5 linked regions of the Cricetulus griseus genome follow. The protein of the gene in region 1 interacts with the protein of each later gene in a pairwise test. Links are inferred from orthologs where the notes say so. Each region holds a gene or a part of one and is shown on either strand. Other genes may lie near its edges.

Evidence for each region.
Region 2: the proteins of Ube2e3 (region 1) and Mul1 interact in a two-hybrid assay, tested with the Homo sapiens proteins (2 studies listed by BioGRID and IntAct). The link is inferred for Cricetulus griseus from reciprocal best matches to the Homo sapiens genes UBE2E3 and MUL1.
Region 3: the proteins of Ube2e3 (region 1) and Cnot4 interact in a two-hybrid assay, tested with the Homo sapiens proteins (3 studies listed by BioGRID and IntAct). The link is inferred for Cricetulus griseus from reciprocal best matches to the Homo sapiens genes UBE2E3 and CNOT4.
Region 4: the proteins of Ube2e3 (region 1) and Rnf111 interact in a two-hybrid assay, tested with the Homo sapiens proteins (2 studies listed by BioGRID and IntAct). The link is inferred for Cricetulus griseus from reciprocal best matches to the Homo sapiens genes UBE2E3 and RNF111.
Region 5: the proteins of Ube2e3 (region 1) and Rnf167 interact in a two-hybrid assay, tested with the Homo sapiens proteins (2 studies listed by BioGRID and IntAct). The link is inferred for Cricetulus griseus from reciprocal best matches to the Homo sapiens genes UBE2E3 and RNF167.

The regions. Positions count from the first base shown.
Region 1 is NC_048599.1:96,235,478-96,240,003, forward strand, and holds part of Ube2e3 (ubiquitin-conjugating enzyme E2 E3), read right to left. Parts: intron 1,608-4,526; coding exon 1,475-1,607; intron 1-1,474. UniProt on the Homo sapiens protein: Accepts ubiquitin from the E1 complex and catalyzes its covalent attachment to other proteins. In vitro catalyzes 'Lys-11'- and 'Lys-48'-, as well as 'Lys-63'-linked polyubiquitination.
Region 2 is NC_048595.1:14,920,336-14,925,296, reverse strand, and holds the start of Mul1 (mitochondrial ubiquitin ligase activator of NFKB 1), read left to right. Parts: upstream 1-1,738; 5' UTR 1,739-1,826; coding exon 1,827-1,946; intron 1,947-4,961. UniProt on the Homo sapiens protein: Exhibits weak E3 ubiquitin-protein ligase activity. E3 ubiquitin ligases accept ubiquitin from an E2 ubiquitin-conjugating enzyme in the form of a thioester and then directly transfer the ubiquitin to targeted substrates.
Region 3 is NW_023276806.1:192,883,644-192,888,169, forward strand, and holds part of Cnot4 (CCR4-NOT transcription complex subunit 4), read left to right. Parts: intron 1-1,476; coding exon 1,477-1,726; intron 1,727-3,500; coding exon 3,501-3,998; intron 3,999-4,526. UniProt on the Homo sapiens protein: Has E3 ubiquitin ligase activity, promoting ubiquitination and degradation of target proteins. Involved in activation of the JAK/STAT pathway. Catalyzes ubiquitination of methylated RBM15.
Region 4 is NC_048597.1:182,022,350-182,026,875, reverse strand, and holds part of Rnf111 (E3 ubiquitin-protein ligase Arkadia), read left to right. Parts: intron 1-3,614; 5' UTR 3,615-3,633; coding exon 3,634-4,507; intron 4,508-4,526. UniProt on the Homo sapiens protein: E3 ubiquitin-protein ligase. Required for mesoderm patterning during embryonic development. Acts as an enhancer of the transcriptional responses of the SMAD2/SMAD3 effectors, which are activated downstream of BMP.
Region 5 is NC_048600.1:84,457,385-84,462,615, forward strand, and holds the start of Rnf167 (E3 ubiquitin-protein ligase RNF167), read left to right. Parts: upstream 1-2,058; 5' UTR 2,059-2,185; intron 2,186-2,322; 5' UTR 2,323-2,726; coding exon 2,727-2,810; intron 2,811-2,893; coding exon 2,894-3,050; intron 3,051-3,818; exon of another isoform or gene 3,819-3,895; coding exon of another isoform or gene 3,896-3,925; intron 3,926-4,007; coding exon 4,008-4,081; coding exon of another isoform or gene 4,082-4,133; intron 4,134-4,232; coding exon 4,233-4,320; intron 4,321-4,480; coding exon 4,481-4,571; intron 4,572-4,736; coding exon 4,737-4,842; intron 4,843-4,978; coding exon 4,979-5,072; intron 5,073-5,231. Other genes in the region: Slc25a11 (mitochondrial 2-oxoglutarate/malate carrier protein), read right to left, coding at 1-45, 132-222, 305-395, 584-790, 881-1,033, 1,641-1,735.

The sequences.
Region 1 (4,526 bases):
AGTTCATATGGGTTCACAGAGACTGTATATAAGTTATAGCTGTTAGCTTGGTGGTTTGTGGGGCTCCTAATACTGGAAATAGATGTGTCTCTAACCCTTGCATGTTCCAGACTCTTTCCTTCTGTTGGGTTGCCTTGTTCAGCCTCAATATGAGGGCTTTTACCTTTTCTCACTGCATCTTGTTTTGTCTTGTTTGGCTGTCTTCTCTTGGGGGGCCTTCTCTTTTCTGAAGAGGAAACTGGAGAGGAAGTGGATATGGAGGAGAAGAGAGGAGGGGCTGGGAGGAGTAGAGTGTGGGGAAACTGTGATGGGGATATAGTATATGAGGGAGGGAGGACGGGAGGGAGAGAGAGGGAGGGAGGAAGGGAGGGAGGGAGGGAGGGAAGGTACCTGTATAGAGGGAGGTATACACCACTAGGTGGGACTTTGTTGAAATGTTAGAGAATACATTCCAGAAAATGTACTTTCTAAAAATCCAGTCTTTACAGAAACAGACATCCGATAGACAGATGACAGACACACACATAGATGAGATAAAGATACACACATATATACATACATCATTACATATATTTAAAGAGTTGATTTAAAAAGAAAAGCATTTCACACAGAGAAATCCCATAAAAATCAGAGACTTTCTTGGCTTTTTCTTTTATTTGTTTATCTAATTTTATTTTACTGTTTTAGGTGCCTGTTTGTGTCCCAAGGAGAAAGAGAAAGAAAAGGTCGATTTGGGTTGATGGGGAAGGAGGACAGATCTGGGAGGAGTTGGGGGAGGGGAAACCATAACTGGAATGCATTACATCAAAAAAAAAATTTATGCAATTGAAAAAAAAGGTGCAGAGCACTTTACTAGTTGGAGGCCATGGTCCTGAAAACCTCCCTGGCACACTGGATTCCTCTTTAATAAACTCAGCTACAAAGGCTAAGCTCCAGGTTTTTTACTTGAGTACTTTATAATGAGAAGTCAGAGGAAAAAGCCCTTCAAGTAAGTACCATGTTTTCTGTTTGTTATCAAGCTGAACACTCAGGTTAAATGAATTAAGAAGAAGGGAAAAGTGAGCCTGTCACTCTATTTTACACTACACTCACAGAAGGCAAAAAATGAGAGTGTTAAGTATTAGTTTTTCCTTTTGTCAGTTTTCTAGTTTTTGCTTATCTATAAAGACAAAATCCTTATTATTAACCTATTTCTGAAAGCTATCAATAAGGTTTATTTCATAGAGGGAGTTTTACATAAGTTTCTATTTATGTTTTAATCAATGTGTAGTTTTATTTACTATTAACTATTTTGAATATAAAATTATTTTTAAAAAGCCAGAAGTCTGTAACATTTTGGTTTCAAAATAACTGAGTTTCCATATTAATTCATGAACAACAATGAAAGCAAATTATTACATTAATATACATGTAAATTCTAGAATACCTGGGTTTGGGAGAAGGGTAATTAATCAATGTATATCTAGGTTCTTACCTTTGGTGGTTTAAATGGATAATCTGAAGAAAATGTGATATCCAGAAAAAAAACACCACCTTCATATACAGAACCTGGTGGACCAAGTATAGTTGACCTCCATTCATAAATGTTATCTCCTTTAGGGCCAGCACTATTTAAAAGAAATAAAAAAAAGTCAATATACATCCTATATAAATACCTGTATACATGTCTATAAAAATTTAGGTTAACACCTAAAGATGAATACAAAATTAGAATTAAATTAAATAAGCAATCTAAAGCAATGAGATAAGTGTGCTCAAGTACACATGCATAAATTTTGAAATATTCCAAATAAACAGAAATTACAATGAAAACACAACTACTATATAACTTTACCCAACACCTCATAACTTTTGCTATTTGCCTCCTTTTCTCCCTCCTTCTCCTGCTACCCCTACACACACACACACACACACACACATTTATCCTTTCCATGTAAACACTTAACGTGTGCTCTTCCAAAAAATAATTTACAAATCAACAGTTACAATTTCAGTAACTATGTCATCCACAGTAATCTAGAATCTGTACGATAAAACTGTAAACTAACTCTAATACACTTAATATTCTCCCCCAGGTACAAGGTATTGGGATCAAGAAAATCTTATGTCTTATACTTTTAATCTATTCTGTGATGGGATTTTATTATGTAACCCCCAGGCTGGCCTAGAACTTCCAATACTCTTGCCTGCCTATTTGCAGTGCTATTAATTGCAGGCATAATCCCCCATGTGCACCTCACCACACCAATTTAAGCTCTATGCCTTAACTTTCCTTTAACATGGGTCCTATCATTACTTAATTTTTCTTTTATTTGACAAATAAATATGCAAGACCATTTGAGTTTGTCTGTGGTTCTCTCATAATGAGACTCAAACAATACACTCCTAACCAGAGAAGTAAATAAGTGGTATGTTATTTGGGGGGGTCATGACAGTTTGAAGTACATGATATGGTGTCCTTTTCCTCACTGGTGATGTTAAACTTCAGCCATAGAAGACGCCTTCCAAATTTCCTACTGCTTAGTTACTATCTTTCCCTGCAACCGATATGTATTCTTTGGTCAGATTACAACCATGCAAATAGCCTACTCTTCATTCAAATTTCTCCTCTAGATTTAATATTTATTTGGAGTCCTCTGAAATTTACTATGATATTGGCATAATGATGATTTTTCAACTCCAGTTCTTTCTCCACATTTAACAGCTGTCTTGAGCCCCGTCTTGCCCTATGTGTTTATATGTTATGTTACTGATATGGTCTCCTAAATTACTAAATCTTTTCAATGCTTTACAATTTACTACTGCTTGAATCATCCCATATTAGCCCGGTGGGAGGGCCTACAAAACAGCTTCTAACATGCTGGCAACATTTTAGAGTCCATTCTTCCTTTCTGGCATGAAAAGATGCTCTACTCTTCCAGTCCTCGAATTAGCTTCAGGAACCTTGGGTCCTTGTAGGAGAAATGTTAGGAAATCAAGACTTGAATTCTGCTGAACACATTAACATAATGCATTGTGCTCAACATCAGTATCATTTATGGAATAAAAACTAACAGTTCAATATAATCTAAACTAAATTTGTTGTTAGTAATGCAACTCTATGATGCCTATAAACATCCTTCAAACACACCTTACAAATTCCCATTTTCCTCTATTTTTTCACCCATATCTTTAATCATGTGTATATGCGGGTGGTGTGAACAGGAAGGACATGTGTACATGAGTAAAGGTACCCACAGAGTCTAGGAGACAGTTTCAGATCCTCTGGAGTCTAGGGCCACCTGATATGGTGCTGGGAATCAGATCCTCTGTAAAGGCATCATATTTTCTTAATGGCAGAGGCATGTCTCCCACCCATGTTCCTCTAGGTTTTTACACCACAAATTATCTTGGCTTTATACATGTAAATATGCATATGCTTTTGTTCTTTTAAACTACCCATCAATTTAGAAGTGATCTGGAGGTCCTATTTAAATAGTAAGTGTGAAACAGTACTGCAACCATATTAAAAGGGGGATCATTTTAACTACATGTTATTAACTCTGCAAGACTGACACCGAAAAACTAGAAAACTTCAGAAGACAAAAATCTCAACAAAAGCTATTCTATAGTCTCAAATGTTTCTATTCATGTCTTTAATTTCACTGTGGCTACTTCTGCTTTCCTGGCAGGCTTTGCAAATATTACTTGTATAAGTACCCAAATACACATGACCCAACTTCCAAATAACCAAATTGCCCAGAACACTTAAATTATAGATGACTGAACAGAAGTCAAGCTGAAGTCAATGCATTTTAATGGACTGTAGAATTACAGACTGAAAAGATGATGCTTTGGATAAATCTACCAACCCTTGAGGAAATCAAGATGGAGGGGGGAAAGAATCCATCTTAAATTCCATTATGGGGTAGAAGAGCTGAGATTCCCACTGGGAAACTAAACTCTTGATCCTATGTTTGCTTTTTTTTTTCCCTCTCTCTCATACGACATGAAAAGGGGTTCATTTAACCCTATGATAGCAGGACATTAAGTGTGACAGAAGCACCTGGCCCAAGGAGTCTATTTTTGTTTTCATTAAGGCATCATTTGGACTAGAGAGAGGCTGGGACAAATCCACCAAGAGGAATGGGAAAAGGTAGCTTCAGGACTGAGTCCATTAACTCAAAGCATTTTATAGGCTAGCAGAAGACCTGCCACTGAGGCCTCACAGCTGAGTGGAGGGGGGGGGGATGATAATGACCAAACATTTCCTGTATCTTTCCTGACTAATCTCCATTCTTTCTGTTTCTGTCCCTTCCACAGGGCAGAAGTCTACAAACTTCCACTTTGCTGTACACTGTCTTAGTTCCATCCCAGAGAACATCATCCACAAGAATCCAACCATGCCATTTTCCCCAAACGTGATTTAAAAAGAAAAACAAAAACAAAAAAACAAAACTGTTTCTCTAAACCTTCCAGCTTTCATCTTATTACTGTTCCCTTTAATAGAAAAACATCCTTCCAAGTTTTGTGGCCTCAAGCCCACA
Region 2 (4,961 bases), on another chromosome or scaffold:
ATTCCCAAGAATACCTTTCCATCCAAGCCATAATGCTTACACCAACTATATACATTGAGTCATTTCCATTCTTTTGCTATAAAAAAACTCCAAGGAGCCAGGCGTTGGTGGCACATGCCTTTAATCCTAGCCCTTGGGAGGCAGAGGCAGGTGGATCTCTGTGAGTTTGAGACCAGCCTGGTCTCCAGAGCGAGTGCCAGGATAGGCTCTAAAGCTACACAGAGAAACTCGAAAAACCAACCAACCAACCAAACAAACAAACAAACAAAAAACTCCAAGGATTAAATATTGTTTTGGGGCAATAGATATATCCTTCCATTCTGAAGAATTCAAAGTACAACATGTAGGACGCTCAGAGAACACAGGCTTTGCAGGCAGATATACTGGTGAAGATTTGGGGGTCTCTGATTGTTTCAGGAAGCAGATGCCTGAGTAGGAAAGATCCTTGATGGGTCAACTGGTTTCGAAGCCCCTGTCACTTTTAGGTAGAGATCTGAGCCTATTTTCTTTTTTTTTTTTTTTTTTTTTTTTTTTTTTTTTTTTTTTTTTTTTTTTCGAGACAGGGTTTCTCTGTGGTTTTGGAGGCTGCCCTGGAACTAGCTCTTGTAGACCAGGCTGGTCTCGAACTCACAGAGATCCGCCTGCCTCTGCCTCCCGAGTGCTGGGATTAAAGGCGTGCGGCACCAACCGCCCGGCCTGAGCCTATTTCTTAACCTGAGCCTCAGTTTCCTCTCCTGAAACCTGCACTATGACAGTGTTGTGTTGGCCTGGAGGAGCTAGGATGGACCTTGGTGGAAGAGCACCTGTGGCCCCGGGTTTGGTCCCTAAGGTCACGGGTGGAATGCAAACCTAGGAAACGTAATCACAGCACATAGCACATAGTAGTCATTCAATAAACGCGGCTGCAGTTCTTACTAAATAAACAGTATGCTGTTTTATGTGGCGGTGTTAGATGAGGAGCTGCTTTAGTGATTCAGCTGGAGTAGAGGCGAGGGCTTTGCAGCTAGTCTAATTGCTCTCCAGATCTCCTCAGCGATATATACGGCTCTGACCATGTTCCCCATCCCCTCTGGCCGCAGTTTCCTCATCTTTAAAGAGGACGGAGTATGCGGGGCGTTGGTGGCGCACGCCTTTAATCCCGGCACTGGGGAGGCAGGGGCAGGCGGATCTCTGTGAGTTCGAGACCAGTCTGGTCTACAGAGTTCCAAAGCTACACAGAGAAACCCTGTCTCGAACCCCGCCCCCCCCCCCCCGCCACACACACACAAAGGAACGGAGCATAACGCAGATTCACCCGATTGCTTAAACGAGTAACACTCCTTAGTCCTTAACATGCATCTGATGACGGCGACATCAGATAACCCAGCAAGGGCTGGAGAAATGGCTCGGTGGGTTTAGGCGCTTGCCGCTATGGCTGAAGACCTGAGTTCGATCCCGAGTACCCACAAGGTTGAAGGAGAGACCTGACTCTCACAGGGCATCCCGCTCTCCACACACGCACTGTGGTACGATCTCACAACACTTCCAGGATAAATGAAAAGCAATTTAGAAATAACCCAGCCAGAAAGTCTAGAAGCCCGTGACCACGGCCAGTGCGCGGAACCGTGAGGTGCCCCGGAAAGCCGACCGCTTTCCCACGAGGCCGCAACAACATCGCAATCACCTCGGCAACGTCGCCTTCCGGTCCCCGCTGCTGGGTCGCCACTTCCGGTGTCGCTTTCGTCATCAACAGGCGCCGCGTCTACGCGTTCCTATAAGAGTTTCCCGGCTGCGCAGGGGTCGCTCGTGGTTTCCAGGCTGCTGGCTCGGCTCGGCTCGGCGTCGCCATGGAGGGCGGATCGCTGCCGTCGTTGGGCCAGTTCATCCTGCTGGGAACCAGCTCGATGATCACCGCCGTGCTGTACTCCATCTATCGGCAGAAGGCCCAGGTCGCCCAGGAGCTCAAGGTCAGTGCGGAAGCCGGCTTGGCCTCTCCGGCCCCTCGCGCCGAGCGGAACCCGGGACCCACAGGGCCCCAGAGGACGCGCGGCCGCGAGGGGACCCCGGGCACCCGCTGCGGAGAGGCTGCCCAGCTCCGAAGTCCCTGGAGTTACTTTGAATGCCACCCATTTGTTCTAAAACTATTTCTCGAAAAACTGCTGTGCACCAGATAGCGAGAGGAACGGAGGTCGTTGTCGCCGTAGGCGCTCCTTTCTAGGACGACGAGACATCGACATGTAATGGGACGGTGTGATAGCGTGAGAAGTGGGTTGGAGTAAGGCGGAGGAAAGTGGAAAGATGGGGAAACGCAGAGTTTCGATTGTCTCTTTTGCCATAGTAAAATACTCCTGACAAAAAGCAACTTAGGGGAGAAAGGGTTAATTAGGCTTTCAATCCTAGGTTACCATCCATCGTCGCGGGGAAGCCCAGGCAGGAACTTGAGGCAGCTGTCAAGTTACATTTGAGTCAAGAGCAAAGAAAAACAAATGCATTCATGTGTAGTGCTCAGCTGATTTCTTTACTGTTATACAGTCCAGAGCCCAAACCTAGGGGATGGTGTCACCCACAGCACAACAGCCAAGTTGTGTTCACTGTTCAATTAGAGCAGTAAAGACCACTTTTTTGTTGTTTTGTTTTTGTATTGTTTTGTTTTTCGAGACAGGGTCTCACTGTGTAATCCTGGCTGTCCTGGAACTCAATCTGTAGACCAGGTGGGCCTCAAACTCAGAGATCCGCCTGCTTCTGCCTCCAGAGCGCTGGGATTAAAGGCGTGCACCACCACCACCACCACCACCACCACCACCACCACCACCACCCCCAACTCAAGACCACACCCACAGGCCAACTCAATCTAGATATCCCCTTACTTTGTTTTTTGTTTGTGTGTTTGTTTTCGAGACAGGGTTTCTCTGTAATTTTGGAGACTGACCTGGAACTCTCTTTGTAGACCAGGCTGGTCTCTAAGTCACAGAGATCCTCACAGAGATCCGACTGCCTCTGCCTCTCAAGTGCTGGGATTAAAGGCGTGCATCACCACCACCACCACCACCACCACCACCACCACCACCACCACCCAGCTCAGATAGCCCCTTACTGAGACACTCTTTAATTGTCTAGCTGACAATTAAAATTAACCGTCACAGGGGCATTGCCTCTTTAAGCAAGGTGATGTTTTAGGTGGAGATGGATTAGTGCAGCTATGTTAGGGAGGTGTGGCTCCGGCCTGGAGAGTAGCTAACTTAGAAGCTTATTGTTAACCACTCAGCTCCTTGCTTCTACCAACTGTTTCTTTTTATATTGTAGTTGCTTTAAAAGTACACTCTCATTTGAACTGCACTTAACACTTCACACAGCATCTTTCCATCTTGGTTTTCCGATTTTTTTTTTCAGCACAGTAATTTCTGAGATTGACAGTGGGGTTCCCTGATTGCAAACCCAGATATTTGAGATTCAAAGGAAGAGTCACATAGCTAGCATTAACTGTCAACTTGACAGGATCTGAAATCACCCAGGAGGCAAACCTCTGGGTGCACTTCTGAGGGACTATCTTGATTAGTTCACTTGGTGGCAAGATTTGCCCTATAAAAGGGCAGCGCCATGGCCTAGGCTTGGGTTCTTGGTGCAAAAAAAGAGAAAATGAGCAGGACACTGGCATTCATTGCTGTTTCCTGTTTTGGATGTCACGTGACCAGCCTCTTTCAGCCCCCTTTACCTTCCTGCCTTGGTTAGGATTATCATCGCTGTGATGAAACACTTTTGGGAAGGGAAGGGTTTATTCTGCTTCCACATCACTGTTGATCACTGAAGGGAGTCAGGACAGGAACTCAAACAGGGCAGGAACCTGGAGTCAAGGAGCTGATACAGAGGCCATGGAGGGGGCTGCTTACTGGCTTGTTCCTCTTTTGTTGCTCAGCCTGCTTTCTTAAGGAACCCAGGACCACCAGCCCAGGGCTAGCACCACTCACTGTGGGCTGGGCGCTCCCCCATCAATCTCTAATTAAGCTGGATCTTATGAAGGAAGTTTTTCAATTGGGGTTCCCTCCTTTCAAATAACTCCAGCTTGTGTCGGGTTAACATAAAACTAGCCAGGATACTTCCCCAGCATGACTGAGTGTATCCTTGACCTGTGAACCCAAATAAGCCTTTCTCCTTTACTTTGTTTTTCTCCCAGTATTTTATCACAGCGAGAGGAATGCAACCAAGACAGCTTGGAACTTAAAACATAGGTCTTTGAGTTCAAGGGTAGTATAATCAGCTAGGCAGGAGCGAGGATTTCTATTGTATCCTTCCCTTTGACTATCAGATTATTGAGACAGTGGACTCCGAGAAATTGGAATTCCCCCAGGAAGTCATGCTGCTGGGAGAGGGAAAAGCCGAGGGCATGGGGAGGGTCAGAGAAGGAATCTGTCAAGATAACCTTTGTAGGAGGGGGAGGCTGAGCAGGTGGTGCTAGGCAGGACCATACTCTAACCTGACCGCTCACTTAGACCATTTAAACCTTACTTCCCACTGGAGAAGTGACTTGATGGTTAGGAGTACTGGTTGCCCTTGTAGAGCCTGAGTTGATTGTCAGCACCGCAAGACAGCTCACCCATCATCTGTAACTCCAGTCCCAGGGGATCTCTTGACCTCTGTGAGTACCAGGCATGTATGTGGTGCAAGACAAACATTCAGGCAAAACACCCATATACATAAAAATTAATAAATAAGGTAAAACTTTGAAAAACTCTTACTTTCCTGTTAAGACCCAAAGAGTGACTTGGGGTAGAGCCACTGGGTATCTTTGCCTTCGCCTTCTCATTGTGGCTACATTGGATAAATGTCTGTTTTCTGTTTTTTACTGTTAGCTTTTTTAGTTGATGCATTGAGGACAGGTGGCTGAGCCTGGCTCTTTTTGGATGCAAGGCACAGCTCTGACCCTAACTCCAGAGCACTGGGCTTTTCTCTTCCTTCTTTCTTGGTTGACAGCCTTGCTTTGTTGC
Region 3 (4,526 bases), on another chromosome or scaffold:
GTTAAATGTAAGGCTCATAAGATCTGAATCTGTACCCCAGGAACTCGCATAAAAGCTGAGCACAGTAGCATATATCTATAAACCCAGCATTGGTAGGGTAGGGACAGGAGGATTCAGCACAACTGCCTTAGGTGATCTCCAAGTTTAGTAAGAGACATCTCAAAAACTAAAGTGGAGCATGTATAGGAAGATACCAAGTACAGATTTCTGGCTTTTGTATGAACTTATACACGTGTACACTTACTTATAAAAATACACACAGCGCGTACACACACACACACACACACACACACACACAGAAAACCCCTAAATACGCTTATAAATCTGAACTGAAATGTTTTTCTATGGCGAGGGATTTTTTTTTTTTTTTTTAAAGATTTTTATTATGTATACAACATTCTGCTTCCATGTATATCTGCACACCAGAAGAGGGCACCAGATCTCATAGTGGATGGTTATGAGCCACCATGTGGTTGTTGGGAATTGAACTCAGGACCTCTGGAAGAGCAGTCGGTGCTCTTAACCTCTGAGCCATCTCTCCAGCCCCGACAAGGGAATTTTTGTTTGTTTGTTTGTTTGTTTGTTTGTTTGTGTATTTTGGTGTTGGTGCTGGCAAATGAATCTATGGCCTTACCCATACTCAGCAATGGTACACTTATATTCCCAGCTCTATGAGAAGGATTTCAAAGCCTTTTCCCCCATGTTGACTTTCTATTAATAGTATTGAGTTGATCAAACAGCATATATTGGGGTCATCTCAGAATATTTGTGTATGAACATTGGTAATATTAAATAAACTTGCATTAATCTTACTCATTCTTTTTATTTTCCCAAGACATTTTGTATAAATAGTGCACAGATAGAGGAGGAGAGGAATGTTACTGTCCCTCAGACCATGGAATTAAAAGCCTCAGAATCACAGAATGATTTAGCCTCCCAATAGGCATGGGGTTTTCTTTTTTCCTTTTTGTTTGATTAGTTGTTATTTGTTGTTGTGTTTTTGCTTTTGATGCTGGGGGTTTGATCACAGGGTCTTTTTCGTGCTATACTCCCAGCCTCCAGAATTATTAATGAATGATTGAGAAAAACTTAGATCTTCCTTTATTTTGGTTAAAAACTAAAATACTTGGAATCTTCTAATATGCAAAAGGATGCTGTAATTGGAGCCAGTTATTGACTTGCTATCAGTTTGAGCATTTCTGATCATTTATCTTTGCCCCTAAAAGTTGAGCAGTTGCTACATAATGAATTCCTAGACAGCAAGGGAGTTTGGGGAGTTGTAAAAGATGAGAACACTATTTTTTTTAAGTACATGTATAAATTAATGAATTGCTTGTTTTTTTCAAATTCCACACTTTGATTAAAAAGTCAGGTGTTCTGGTTTGAAGACCACTGTTAGAAACCTTTTTTGCAAATGTTTTCAATTGTGGTTTATTAGGATACAAATTTATCTTGACTTCTTCCTCTTTCTTTTAGATATCTAACAGTGATACGCCTTCACCACCACCTGGTTTATCAAAGTCCAATCCTGTCATCCCCATCAGTTCATCCAATCACAGTGCAAGGTCTCCTTTTGAAGGGGCAGTAACAGAGTCACAGTCATTATTCTCAGACAATTTTCGACACCCCAACCCTATACCAAGTGGGCTTCCTCCTTTTCCCAGCTCTCCACAGACACCCAGTGATTGGCCTACAGCTCCAGAACCACAGAGCCTCTTCACGTCAGGTATGTAATTACCTAGTATTAGTAATCAGACTCATAAATTGACAGACTAATGGAATACATTTTGGTTGATATACTTCTATCTTGTTTTCTGTCGGGTCCACTTTTTAAAAACTATAACTTTTAAACTACATGGTATTCGATATTATGAAAGTTGTGTTGCCTAGAAATTATAGTGTTGGAGAGCAGATTTATCTAGAAATCATTTATTATATTTTCTCAAAAACTCACTACTCTGGCTGGGTATAGTGGCACACACCTTTAATCCTAGCAGAGGCAGGCTGGATCTCTTGAGTGTTAGGCCAGTCAGGGCTACATAGAAAAACCCTGTCTTAAAACCCAAAGGGGGGGAAAAAACCAAAAAAGTTACTGCTCTGGGAGTAACTTAGGACTCAACTTTTTAAGTCAGATTTGTGTTGATGTAATCAAATTTAAGATCTTCCCCTAATTGTCTAATTGGCATAAGTAATTTACGTAGTTGTAAAAACTAAATTTTGTCCCCTCTCTGCCATCCTATTTTTAAAATTTTTGGCATGGTTTATATTTGTATAAGAGTTTTGCTTTTACCATTTTGGAAATTATGGTTTTTTTTCCCTCCATTTTGTTTTTTTTATTTAAGTTAGAAACAAGATTGTTTTATGTGTCAATCCCAGTTCCCTCTCCCTCCCCTCCTCCTCTGCCCCCCACTAACACCCTACCTATCCCATACCATTTCTGCTCCCCAGGGATAGTGAGGCCTTCCATGGAACTGATCCAGACCCCATGAATGTGGGTGTCAGTGAGGAGACCTTGGAAATTTATGGGGCCCCTTGTAGTAGATCAAGGATAGCATAGGAATGGACTTTGGGAGCCCATTTCACATAGAGGCATACTCCATCAGCCTAGACACACAGGGGTGAGCCTAGGCCCTATCCCAAAGGACATGACAGACTCTGGAAATTATGTTTTAACTGATATCCACAGCACAATGCCAGCCACCTGCTGGAACTTTGGTTCCATCACATTCAGATGAAACTAGCCTGAAGAATGGTTTATGTTCTCTTCCCTGAAGAAGCATGGCTTTACATCTTTGTCTTGATGGTTTCAGAGGTGTCAGGTGTGAATGGACAAGCAGAGAGTTTTTAATTAGAAAGCAGAGAGCACACCACTTATCTTTTTACTCATTTAAATATTTTTATCCATCTGAAAGATGGCATAAATTAATAGCCACAATGACGCCTGTGATGTAGATTAAAAACATAATCTTAGCATACAATAGAAGAGTTAGCCTTACTAGTTAAAGTCTTTTAGACTGTAGCACTTTTAATAGCATGCTAGTTTTTAATTATGAATGTTTGTGTAACCTGGATAACAGGGGAGGTTTTCCTTCTGATCAGCACAACCAGTCTATATCATTAAGGTTTATTTTTTTTTTTAAGATTTATTTATTTTATGTGTATGAATGCATGTATGACTTTATGCCAGAAGAGGGCATCAGATTCCTCTATAGATGGTTGTGAAGCAACCATGTGGTTGCTGGGAATTGGACTCTTAACCTCCAGAACAGCCAGTACTCTTAACCACTGAGCCATCTCTCCAGGCCCTATCATTCAGTTTTTGAACTTAATTTAGCAGTGAAATCACTGCTAGAAATTATGAGTTCCTTTGGAATCTTGCATGTTTGCTTTCTATTATAATGTGGCATGTGTAACTTAACACTGGTATAGACTGTAATGTAGGATGTTTAATATACACTGTGAAGATAGACTATGTTCATCACTATATTTCTTCCCAACAGAAACAATCCCAGTATCATCATCTACAGACTGGCAAGCAGCGTTTGGTTTTGGCTCTTCTAAACAGCCAGAGGATGACTTGGGTTTTGATCCCTTTGATGTCACTCGAAAAGCCTTAGCAGACCTGATTGAGAAGGAACTGTCCGTCCAAGATCAACCTTCCCTTTCTCCCACGTCTCTTCAGAACTCCTCCTCACACACTACAACAGCCAAAGGTCCAGGCTCTGGATTCCTGCATTCTGCTGCACCTACAAATGCCAACTCTCTTAATAGTACCTTTTCAGTCTTGCCACAGAGGTTCCCTCAATTTCAGCAGCACCGAGCAGTTTATAATTCGTTCGGTTTTCCAGGCCAGGCAGCCCGCTATCCTTGGATGGCCTTTCCACGCAATAGCATCATGCACTTGAACCACACAGCAAACCCCACCTCAAATAGTAATTTCTTGGACTTGAATCTCCCGCCACAGCACAACACAGGTCTGGGAGGGATCCCCATAGCAGGTAGGTTCATTTAAAGCCTCCGAGAATATGTATGTATTCATGACTTCAGGTTGCTGGGTGGTTAGGGAAGAGCTGCTGGGTAACAAGAGTATATAATAGTCTTAGAAATTTCTACGAAAAACCTTACATCTTTAACCTTTTTGTTTGTTTGTTTGTTTTTTGATTGAGTGAATGCCTTGTAATATGGAGCTTTATAAGGATGGTGGAGTATTATATCTACTTATTGTTTGGAAGCATTGTATTTAATAGGATAGTTACTAGACCTTTAGATGATATGTAAACACAAAAAAAAGAAAAACAAAAATTGGGCTCTGAAATTATAGTGTTTTAAAGGCCAACACCATAGTAAAAATATCTTGTGTTATAGTCTAAAGTGGTTAAATTTTTTTAAAATCAAAATTAATGAGAGCATGAGGGATAAAGCCACTATAACTGCTATCGAAATTGCTTGTTTTGACTGATACATACATGCACACATCAAAACTGCCATATGTGTATACAAAAATATTTGACAACTTAAATTATCAA
Region 4 (4,526 bases), on another chromosome or scaffold:
TGTAGAGTCACAGAGTTGAACAGCTAACACCATGGGCATTTTGAGACACAGAAGCCCTGTTTCTCACAATCTTAATTCTTAGATCATCTGCAGCCTAATTTAAATTTTACCTGTATAGTCTTTGTAATTTTAAAAAGCTACTTAATTTTTTATGTATATGAGTACTTAGCATGTGTGTATGTGTGTCGAATATGTGTCTAGTGCCCACAGAGACAGTCTCAAACCCACAGAGATTTGCCTGCCTTTGTCTTCAAGTGCTGGGACTCAAGGCATGGCTGGTTTCAGTATCCTTACATCTTTTCTAACATGAGTTTGTACCTGTTACTGTAACCAATGTCATCTACTCCTTCCCTCTTGCTAACACTTGCTTAAGCCTCATTATTTTGAGGTGTTCTTTCTTGCACTTTGTTGCAATGGTCTTGATCTGACTAGCAACTGTAAATTTGTTGCTTGCTGTGCTCCCCCCTCCCTTCACTCATTGTGCTATACTCTAGGTAGGATTTAATGACTGAGCTTGCAAACATCATTGCCTGCCCTTGTAAGAATCTTATAAGAAAAGAAAGAATCTAGAGGCCAGCCTGCACTACAGGGTGAGTTCCAGGACAGCCAAGGCTGTTACACAGAAAAAAGAAAGAAAAGGATTGAATGGCATTCTCTAGGGAAAGGTCATTGTAATCTTACTTTCATGAGGTCTGTTCTGATAATAGAGCTGTGAAATAGAGCACAAAACCTATGCAATTATGCATTTACGTATCTGTTATTTATGGAAACCCTTGACATAAAATACCTGTTTTATTTGGTGGTGGCACACACCTTCAATCCCAGCAGTTGGAGGCAGAGACAGGGTGATCTCTGAGTTGTAGGCTAGTCTGGTTTACAGAGGGAGATCCAGGACAGACAGAATTACACAGAGAAGCCCTGTCTCAAACAAACAAATGGTTTGAAAATGTCTGTTAGTGTAGAAACAGTTCTATCATTTTGGAAGTTAGGAAGTGGTCACAATTGTTGATGGATGGAAGTGATGAACTTGGAAGCTGAGGGAGGAGATGCCCTTGATCCTGGCAGTTGGAGACAGTCTGAGCAAGGTACTGGTTTCTAAAGCATACAAACCAGACTGTTTCTAAAGCATACAAACCGTGTTTACGCCTGCTTAGATTCTCATACTGCTCTAACACAGTGCTTCACTTGTCAGACTAACTACTTTTCTAGCGAGTGTTCCATCTTGAGTGATGTTCACAATTTTACATGGTCATCCTTCTTTTATGTACAAAATTACACTGTGAGCCAGAAAGAAAGCTCAGGTGCTTGACATCCAGGCCGGGGCACCCAAGTTTGATCTCTGAAGAGAACCAGCTCCACAAAGTTGTCTTGTGGACTTCATATTTACACCGTGGCACAAGTGCCACACACATGCATCAAGGAATAATAAAAAATTTAAAAATTGTGTTGGTGTTGATGCAGTAAATTAAGTTCCTTTGTTCAACAGCTCAGTTTCAGAGGTGAGATGATCTAAGCACACTTAGACCAGTTGTGGGAAGTTTTATTTTCTGCTGTGCTGCTGATTTAACAGTTATCTTCAGAATCTTGGTCCTTGCTCTAGGCTTGCTGTACTGACACTAAATTTACTAGTTGTGTCAAACTTCTGTTGGAATTAGGGTCTCATTAGATAAATGGAGTCATAGGAGAAAGAAGCTGTATTTCTACTAGCTAATTATTTAATGTAAAAACCATCTAAATGTACAGGAAGTATTTATTAAACAATTTTAGCATGTTAATATCAAAGGGAAGACATGAACTTTTCTGAAGATAAATGAACAAATGTCTACTCACCCCAAATAGCATCAACAATAGAAACATCCAGTTAAGCTGTGGCTTGGTTGAACCAATGTTTAACTGGGGTTTCTTAGGGGAGCTGTTGCAGTGACTACACTGCAATAGCAATCTGTCTTCCTGCACCAGCTTTCCTGTCAGTTCTTGGGGAAAGATGTGGCCTTATAAGCCCCCTCCTCTTAGCAACTGCTAATAGCTCGCAGATCACTGGTGGGGTGACTCACAACCTCTGCTTTAACAGTGGTTATCTGAAAACTCTTGGGAAGAGGTGGGCCTCATGAACCCTTTCCTTTGAGGGAAAGTTCATGGCCCAATCTTGTACAGTCTGCTGGCACTCAGATCTGCTGACAGTTGAAGAGGGCAATGACCATGTTATGCCCTGAAGGCAGTATTCAACAACACATGTCTTTGGAATTCTTTTTTTTAGTCGGGGGAGGGGTGCAGGGCTGGAGGAATCTCTTGAGATAGAGTCTTGTTGTGACTGGCTTTGCATTCGTCATTGTAGTACTCCCCGCTTCAGCCTCCAAAGTGTTGTGGTTTGATGACTTTATTGTGTTTTTTCTTATAATTTAAATTACATTAAAATTTTAGGTTTTTACTAGCCTTATGGGTACATTTTTATTCATGTACATGTATTGATTGTATTCACCTCTAATTCCCCTCTCATGTCTTTCTTATTCCACACCACTCCCATTGACCTCTTTCCTCTTTGCAAGTCATCTCTCTTCTGTTTTTACATCTTTGTTGGTGGTGATGGTGAACTTCCAATAGTGTTTCTAATAGGAATATGAGTAAGGGATTATAAATGCCTCCACCTCCCCCAGCATCCATTGGCTGCCTATAAATCCTGAGGACTGTAGCCTTCCTAAAGTTTGTTTTAAATGATACACAAGAGCTTAAACATTGTACATATTTTTCAGTACTTTGTGTTTTGATAAGTTTGTACATAGTGTAATGTTGCAGTCAGGTTAATAAATGTGCATTCACAGACATCTTTCTCTAGGTTATAGCTTTCAAAATCTTCTCCAGGTGTTTGAAATGTGCAATATAGTATCACCTGGAATTACATTATTACACACTGTTACCAAAACTTGTTCTTTGTATATAACTAACTAGTACTTGTTGACCAGCCATCCCTTATCTCACCTCTCCACTCCATTCTCCAGCCTCTGGTAACCTTCATTCTGCTCTCAGCTTTTGTGAATTAGTTTTGTCAATCCCACATGTGAGTAAGGTCTTGTGGAACTTGCTTTTCAGCCTGCCTTATTTCACTCAGGGTAATGGTTTATAATTCTGTCCAGGTTATTACAGATGAAAGGATTTCATTTTTTTTTTTAATGGGTGAATGGCATTCTATCATGTATCTACTACATTTTTTTCATCCATCCTTTGGCTGTTGTGGTTAATACTGCAGTGCACATGGGGTGCTGTATGATTTCAGCAGACTGGTTTCCTTTGACTGCAGAAGGCAGTCTTTTGAATTCTAATTCTCTTCTTTAGTTTAATGAAGTAAACTTAAAGGAAGTGTTTGGCTTTGACCAAATACGCTATATTGTGGAAGCTAGCAGGAATATTGCCAGGTCCTTTTGGTTACTGTAAGTTCCAGTACTATGTGCTAGTTGACTGTGTTTCTGAAAGTAGGGTAGAAGCAGAGGTACTAGAGTGTTCGATGAGAAAGTCAAGAGGCTGGCTTAGCTTAGTCATGTTACGGCTGCTGCAGGCTTTAGTCACTTGTGTAGCACAGATGTACTGAGTCTTTTCAATGTCTGCCTTGTGTCTCCTAGGCCTTCCTTAAAGTTTCCCATGTCTCAATGGACTCCTGAATATAACGAGCTCTACACCCTAAAAGTGGCTATGAAGAGTGGGACTCCTCCTGATGCGCCCACAACACAGGAGAGTCTGAAGGGGGTCCTTCTGCACCCACAGCCCCTCGGGGCCACCAAGAGCTTCCCTGCAGAAGTGGAGATGATTAACAGCAAAGTGGGGAATGAATTCTCTCACCTGTGTGATGATTCAAAACAAGAGAAGGACATGAATGGCAACCAGCAAGAACAAGAAAAAAGTGGGGTTGTGAGGAAAAAGCGCAAAAGCCAACAGGCTGGCCCCTCATATGTACAGAATTGTGTCAAAGAAAATCAGGGAATCCTAGGGCTGAGGCAACATCTAGAGACACCAAGTGATGAAGAGAATGACTCTTCCTTCAGTGAGTGTCTGTCTTCTCCCTCATCTAGTCTCCATTTTGGGGACTCTGATACTGTGACTTCAGATGAGGACAAAGAAGTCTCAGTGAGACATTCCCAGCCTGTTCTGAGTGCTAAAAGCAGAAGTCACAGTTCACGGTCCCAAAAGTGGCCTCGGACTGAGGCAGAGTCTGTGTCAGGCTTGTTGATGAAAAGACCTTGTTTTCATGGTAGTGCACTGAGGAGACTTGCATGCAGAAAGAGATTAGTGAAGAACAGCTCCTCCCAGAGGACACAGAAGCAGAAGGAGAGGCTGCTGGTACAGAGGAAGAAGCGGGAGGTGTTGGCCCAGAGGAAGTATGCGCTCCTTCCCAGCTCCAGTAGCTCCAGTGAGAATGACCTCAGCAGCGACTCCTCTTCCAGTTCCTCAACGGATGGAGAAGAGGACCTGTGTGCATCTGCTAGCGAGAATCCCAGTAACCCCACTGCCCCCTCAGGTGAGAAGGCTGGTGCTAT
Region 5 (5,231 bases), on another chromosome or scaffold:
TCATGCTGGCACAGAAGTGGCACAGAATATTGTCATAGAAGTAGCCTGGGAGGTGAGGCAGAAGGTGGCGGTCAACCCTCAGGCAGCTCAGGCCAGACTGGGCATTGAGTATTTGGCGCTGGGTCTCTCACCTGAGTCTAGCAAGAACTGCTTGGATTGGGAGTAGGAGGCAAGCTGGGCAGCATTGACGACGACAGCTCGAGCCATGGTAGGGATACAGCCCTAGAGAGTGGAGACAACGAAGAGAGTCAAAAATGCCACAGACTTGATCCCCACGTCCCAAGACTTTGCCCCCTTTGCTCACCCGCCACAGTGTGGGGACTCCCTCTTCCCTGGCAATTCGGATTAGGGCATTAAACACGTTTTTGTAGCCTCGGCGCTGGTCAGCTGGAAGCCTGGGGAGAGGGCAGAAAAAAGCCAAGATCAGGCAGGCTCAGGGTCCATAGGAACAAAGACAGGGAGGCCTAAGCAGGTAAGTGCCCTGCCGTAGATCTCAGCTAACAAAAACAGGTAAAACCTAGCTAGATCTTTCACTCTAGATTCCAGGAATGGGGCTGGAGTCAAGCTCAGACCTGGAACTCACCGGCCATCAGCAGTCATCCTGATAAGAGCCACCTCAGCTGGCGTTCCCACAAATGCACCAGTTGCACCTGCAGTCATACCAATCAGGGCTTTCAGCAGAAAGCCAGGGGGTGTACCGTCAGCCCCAGTCAGGCGCTCAAACAACACGGTATAGATGCCAAGACGAGTGGTGGTGTAGGTAGCCTGGCGCAGTAGGCCAGCTGACAGCCTGAGGAACAGAAAGGTCAGCAAAGCCTATCGGGCCAAGGTCTGGACCTGCCAACCCACAACCTCGCTTCCCAACCGGAGGCCCCAGTACCCAGTGTAAATGCCCTTCAGTCCTTCTGCCTTCAGGATGCTGGTGAGGGCATGGAAGCTGGTTTTGTACTCTCGAGTCTTGGCCCCTTCACCACTCAACTGCATCCGGTTCTTCACCAAGTCCAGAGGCTGCACAAAAACTGTAGCACCCATCCTGGAGTAAGGCAGGAAAAGGAGACAGAGCTCAGCTGTTCCTGCTCTATTAGTGTCTACTGCAACCTGGCAGCCAGAAGTTACGAAGGTCAGGGCCTGACATGCAGCTAAGGATTCAGGAGGCTGGTGGGCATGTACATAAGTGTGTGAACGAAGGGGCGATGTGCCAGGCAAAAAAAAAAAAAAAAAGTCCAGTTGTCCAGTAAAGACCATGCAAATCAAAACACTTCAAACAGTTCCTTAGAGCTCAAATAGAATTAGATTACAGGCAGTCTGACTAAGGAGGGGTGGAGAGGACATCCATAACCTACGACTCCAAGCGGTCCTCTAACAACGCCTCTAATAACCTAGACCCACCACACAATCAGGCACGGTGAAGCAATGGTGGTGGAAACACGCGGGGCAATGACTCTTGAATGAAGCCAGCCCTGTAGGGGCCTGCGATGGGTGAATAATCCTGTCAGCCCACCAGGGAGGTCGCAATACTCTGGACATTATGGTGACCCCGCACCCGCTCCATTTACTGCAACATACCCCGAGATGCACTGGGCCCAGTTACTTGCGCCCGTCCCTTCCTCCTTTTTCCCATCCCTGGGGCCTGAGCTTACCCAGCCAGGCCCCCAAACAGGAACTTGACCGACTTAGGGGAGGTACGGGGCTTCCCGTCCATCCGGCCATCCCCGGGACTCGCCGTCGCCGCCATCGCCCCTTGATGGCCCTCGGCTTTGGGTCCCGTGCACGCACAGCCCCGCTCGCGCCCAAGGTGACACCAGCGCGCAACAGGGCGAAGGCGCGCGCGCGCACGCCCCTCCGACAGGCAAGTCTGGCTTGAGCTGGAAACTGGGGGGCGGACGGGGGGGGGGGGAGGACCGCAGGCGCCTAGCGCAAAGGAGGCCGGGAAGGAGGCGGGGCTAGTATGCGTAAGCGAAGGGGCGTGGCTGATCTAGGAAGCCTCTTTGTAGCCCCCGCCCTTCCCGAATTGGAATCGCGGGAAACTAGTGTTTGAAAATCTCGCGAGAACGAGTGAGACAGTCGAGTTAGGGCCGGCATCCTCTCTCTCGCGATAAATTTCAGCTTAGCGATGGGGTGGCGGTGGTGGTGGTAAGCACTCTCGCGATACTTGGAGGTACCGCAGCGAGCAGGAGGCAGAGAGGTTTGTAAACAGGGCAGCACCAAGATTTCGGGCGCTGAGGGGAAAAGAAAATTAGGTCGTCTCCTGGGCATCGGAGCTCCCTCCATCTGCGCAGGAACTCTCTCCGTGTCTAACATTTCTTTCAACCGGCCTTTTAGGACCGGAAGTCCTCCGTCCTGAGCGTCCAATACTGGAAGCGGCCTTTCTTTACCGGAAACCCTTTTCCAGGGGATCGGAAGACGGCCTACCTGGCCGGAAGTCCCACCTCTTTGAGATTTCCCCCACCCTTCCTGAAGTTTTTCTGTTACCTGTTTTTTGCCTTCGTTTCTATTCTCCGTTTTATTTCTGTAGTAGAGAAAGATACATTGTCTCCCTCCCAGCTCCACTAAGCTGGTTTCATACCGCACTTCCCGAGTCGGAGTTTTGCCCCGACGCCCCCATGTAGCTGAGAAAGTAGGACCTGGGGGTGGTTGGACCCCTGGGATCCTTAAGGAGGCAGAGAGGTCGCAGAACTCGGCTCCTATCAGGACGCGACCTCCTCAGCCTTACCCCTCCCGCTGCCATGCACCCTGCAGCCTTCCCGCTTCCTGTTGTTGTGGCTACTGTGCTGTGGGGAGCATCCCCTATCCGAGGCCTTATTCGAGCGGTGAGTCTAAGGGGCGGATGGGGCGGAGGGTGCCGAGAAGGGTTTCCAGGCCGAAGAGAAAAACGGACTAATTTTGTCTGCAGACCTCGGAGCACAATGCCAGCATGGACTTTGCAGACCTCCCAGCTCTATTTGGGGCTGCCCTGAGCGAGGAGGGACTCCAGGTGATGCTCTCCCCGTTTCCTTATAGTCTCTATCCTGGGCAGGGGTTGAGTAGCCGTGCTCTGGATCCAACTGGAGGTAGGAAGTAGTCGAGTTAGCAGCGGGATGCGTTGGGCTGTGGATAGAACTCAGTGATAGGGTGCTTTCCTAACACGAGTGAGACTGAATCACCAATACCAGCTCCCCGCCCAAAACCTAAGTATATGACCGTGTCCAATGTAGAGTTCAGAATCTAGAGGCAGAAGGCAGTGTCCGAGAACTCCCAAGTTTAAGAGGGACATTGGAGAGTGAATTAAGATAGGAAGCAGGTGCTTATCAGTAATGTCTCCAGAGCTGTTTACTGTTTGTATGAATGGCTGTGGATGGTATTTTGTTGACCCTTAGTAAAATGGGTAATGGAAATTAACTTAGAACTACTGTGTTAACTGGTAAGTTGAGTTAAGCATGTCTGTAATAGTTTATTACAAAGTTCTTGCCACATAGGAAGAACTCAGTTGGACCACGGATAGCAATAGTTGTTTCTAAAGTGAGGGTTATTGAAAGTGCTGTATGTACACAAAAAGACGAATCTGAAAAAAACTTGGTGAAAATGACATGGATGAGTAGCAAGCTGAATTATCAGGAAACTGGAAAAACAGAACTAAACTAAGAATTTGAGAAGTCGAGAGAGCCTCTGGTAAAGAGGTGATATGTTCTGTAATTGCATCTTCGGGAAGCCAAGAGATTAGATTCTGCTTTGTTTGGTTTTATAGATAGGTTTCTCTGTGTAACCCTGGCTGTCCTGAACTGTGTATACCAGGCTGTCCTCCAACTCAAAACACCTGCCTGCCTAACTCTACTTTCCAGGTGCTGGAATTAAATGCATGTATCACCATGCCGGCCTGAGATGTAGATTCTGATTCAGGTGGGATGCTTAGACCTCAATGAGGGTAGAGCTACAGAATACAGATGGTGTATGTATCACTATATTCGATAGGCCCTGTGGGAGGCAGAATGTAAAGATGGAAAATCCAACTGTTTGCTTTTATTCCTCAGGGGTTCCTTGTGGAGGCCCATCCAGAAAATGCCTGCAGTCCCATTGCCCCACCACCCTCAGCTCCGGTCAATGGGTCAGTCTTTATTGCACTGCTTCGAAGATTCGACTGCAACTTTGACCTCAAGGTTGCTAAATGTGGAATGGGAGCTGGTAAACATGGTAAATGACACTGGAAGCAAAGAAAGGCAAAGTTTATGACTGTTGTCCGTGCTTTGTCTTCTTAGGTCTTAAATGCTCAAAAAGCTGGGTATGGTGCAGCTGTGGTTCACAATGTGCATTCCAATGAGCTTCTGAACATGGTGTGGAATAGTGGTGAGTAAGGCTGGGGAAACTGCACCGATGGACTTTCAGTAGGAGGACTAAAGGATCAAAAGAGGCCTTTGGGTTCTTTGGGTGGGATGGGCAAAGTGTCAGATGCCAGTTCCAGGGAACTGAGTGGAAGGCTAAATCCCCACTATCCTGCTCCCTACAGAGGAAATCCAACAGCAGATCTGGATCCCATCTGTATTTATTGGAGAGAGAAGTGCAGAGTACCTACGAGCCCTTTTTGTCTATGAGAAGGGGTAGGACATAATGCTTTCTTCTTCCTCTTCTCCCACTCTTCCCCAAGCCTCACTACCCTACCCACTCACACTCAGGCTCTTCCTTTCTCTTCACCAACGCCTTGTCCCAATCCAGTTACCTGGTTTTGCCTGGTTCCTGGCTTGAGACTTGTCTTTCTTTCTTAGGGCCCGGGTGCTTCTGGTTCCAGACAATAGTTTCCCCTTGGGCTATTATCTCATTCCTTTCACTGGCATAGTAGGACTGCTGGTTTTGGCCATGGGAGCTGTACTGGTAAGTAGCAGTGGGAAGAAATTACAAGGCCAGACTGTGTCTGGAGAGGGTTAGTGAGGTGGTTATTGGATTTTCCAGTGTTTTCTTTTCTTTTTCTTTTTCAACTTAAGCCTGGTCCACTCTCCCTTACTCCTAGGTAGTTCGTTGTATCCAGCACCGCAAACGGCTCCAGCGGAACCGACTTACCAAAGAACAACTGAAACAGATTCCTACCCATGAGTATCAAAAGGGTAAGGACACAGGAACAGGGCCCATCTTAAAAGGTGTTTTGAGCCCAGTAGATAAGGGTTTGTATGAAGAGCAGTGGGAGAGGCCAGGCGTTGGTGGCACACACTTTTAATCCCAGCACTTGGGAGGCCAGAGACAGGAGGCAGGCGGATCTCTGTTCG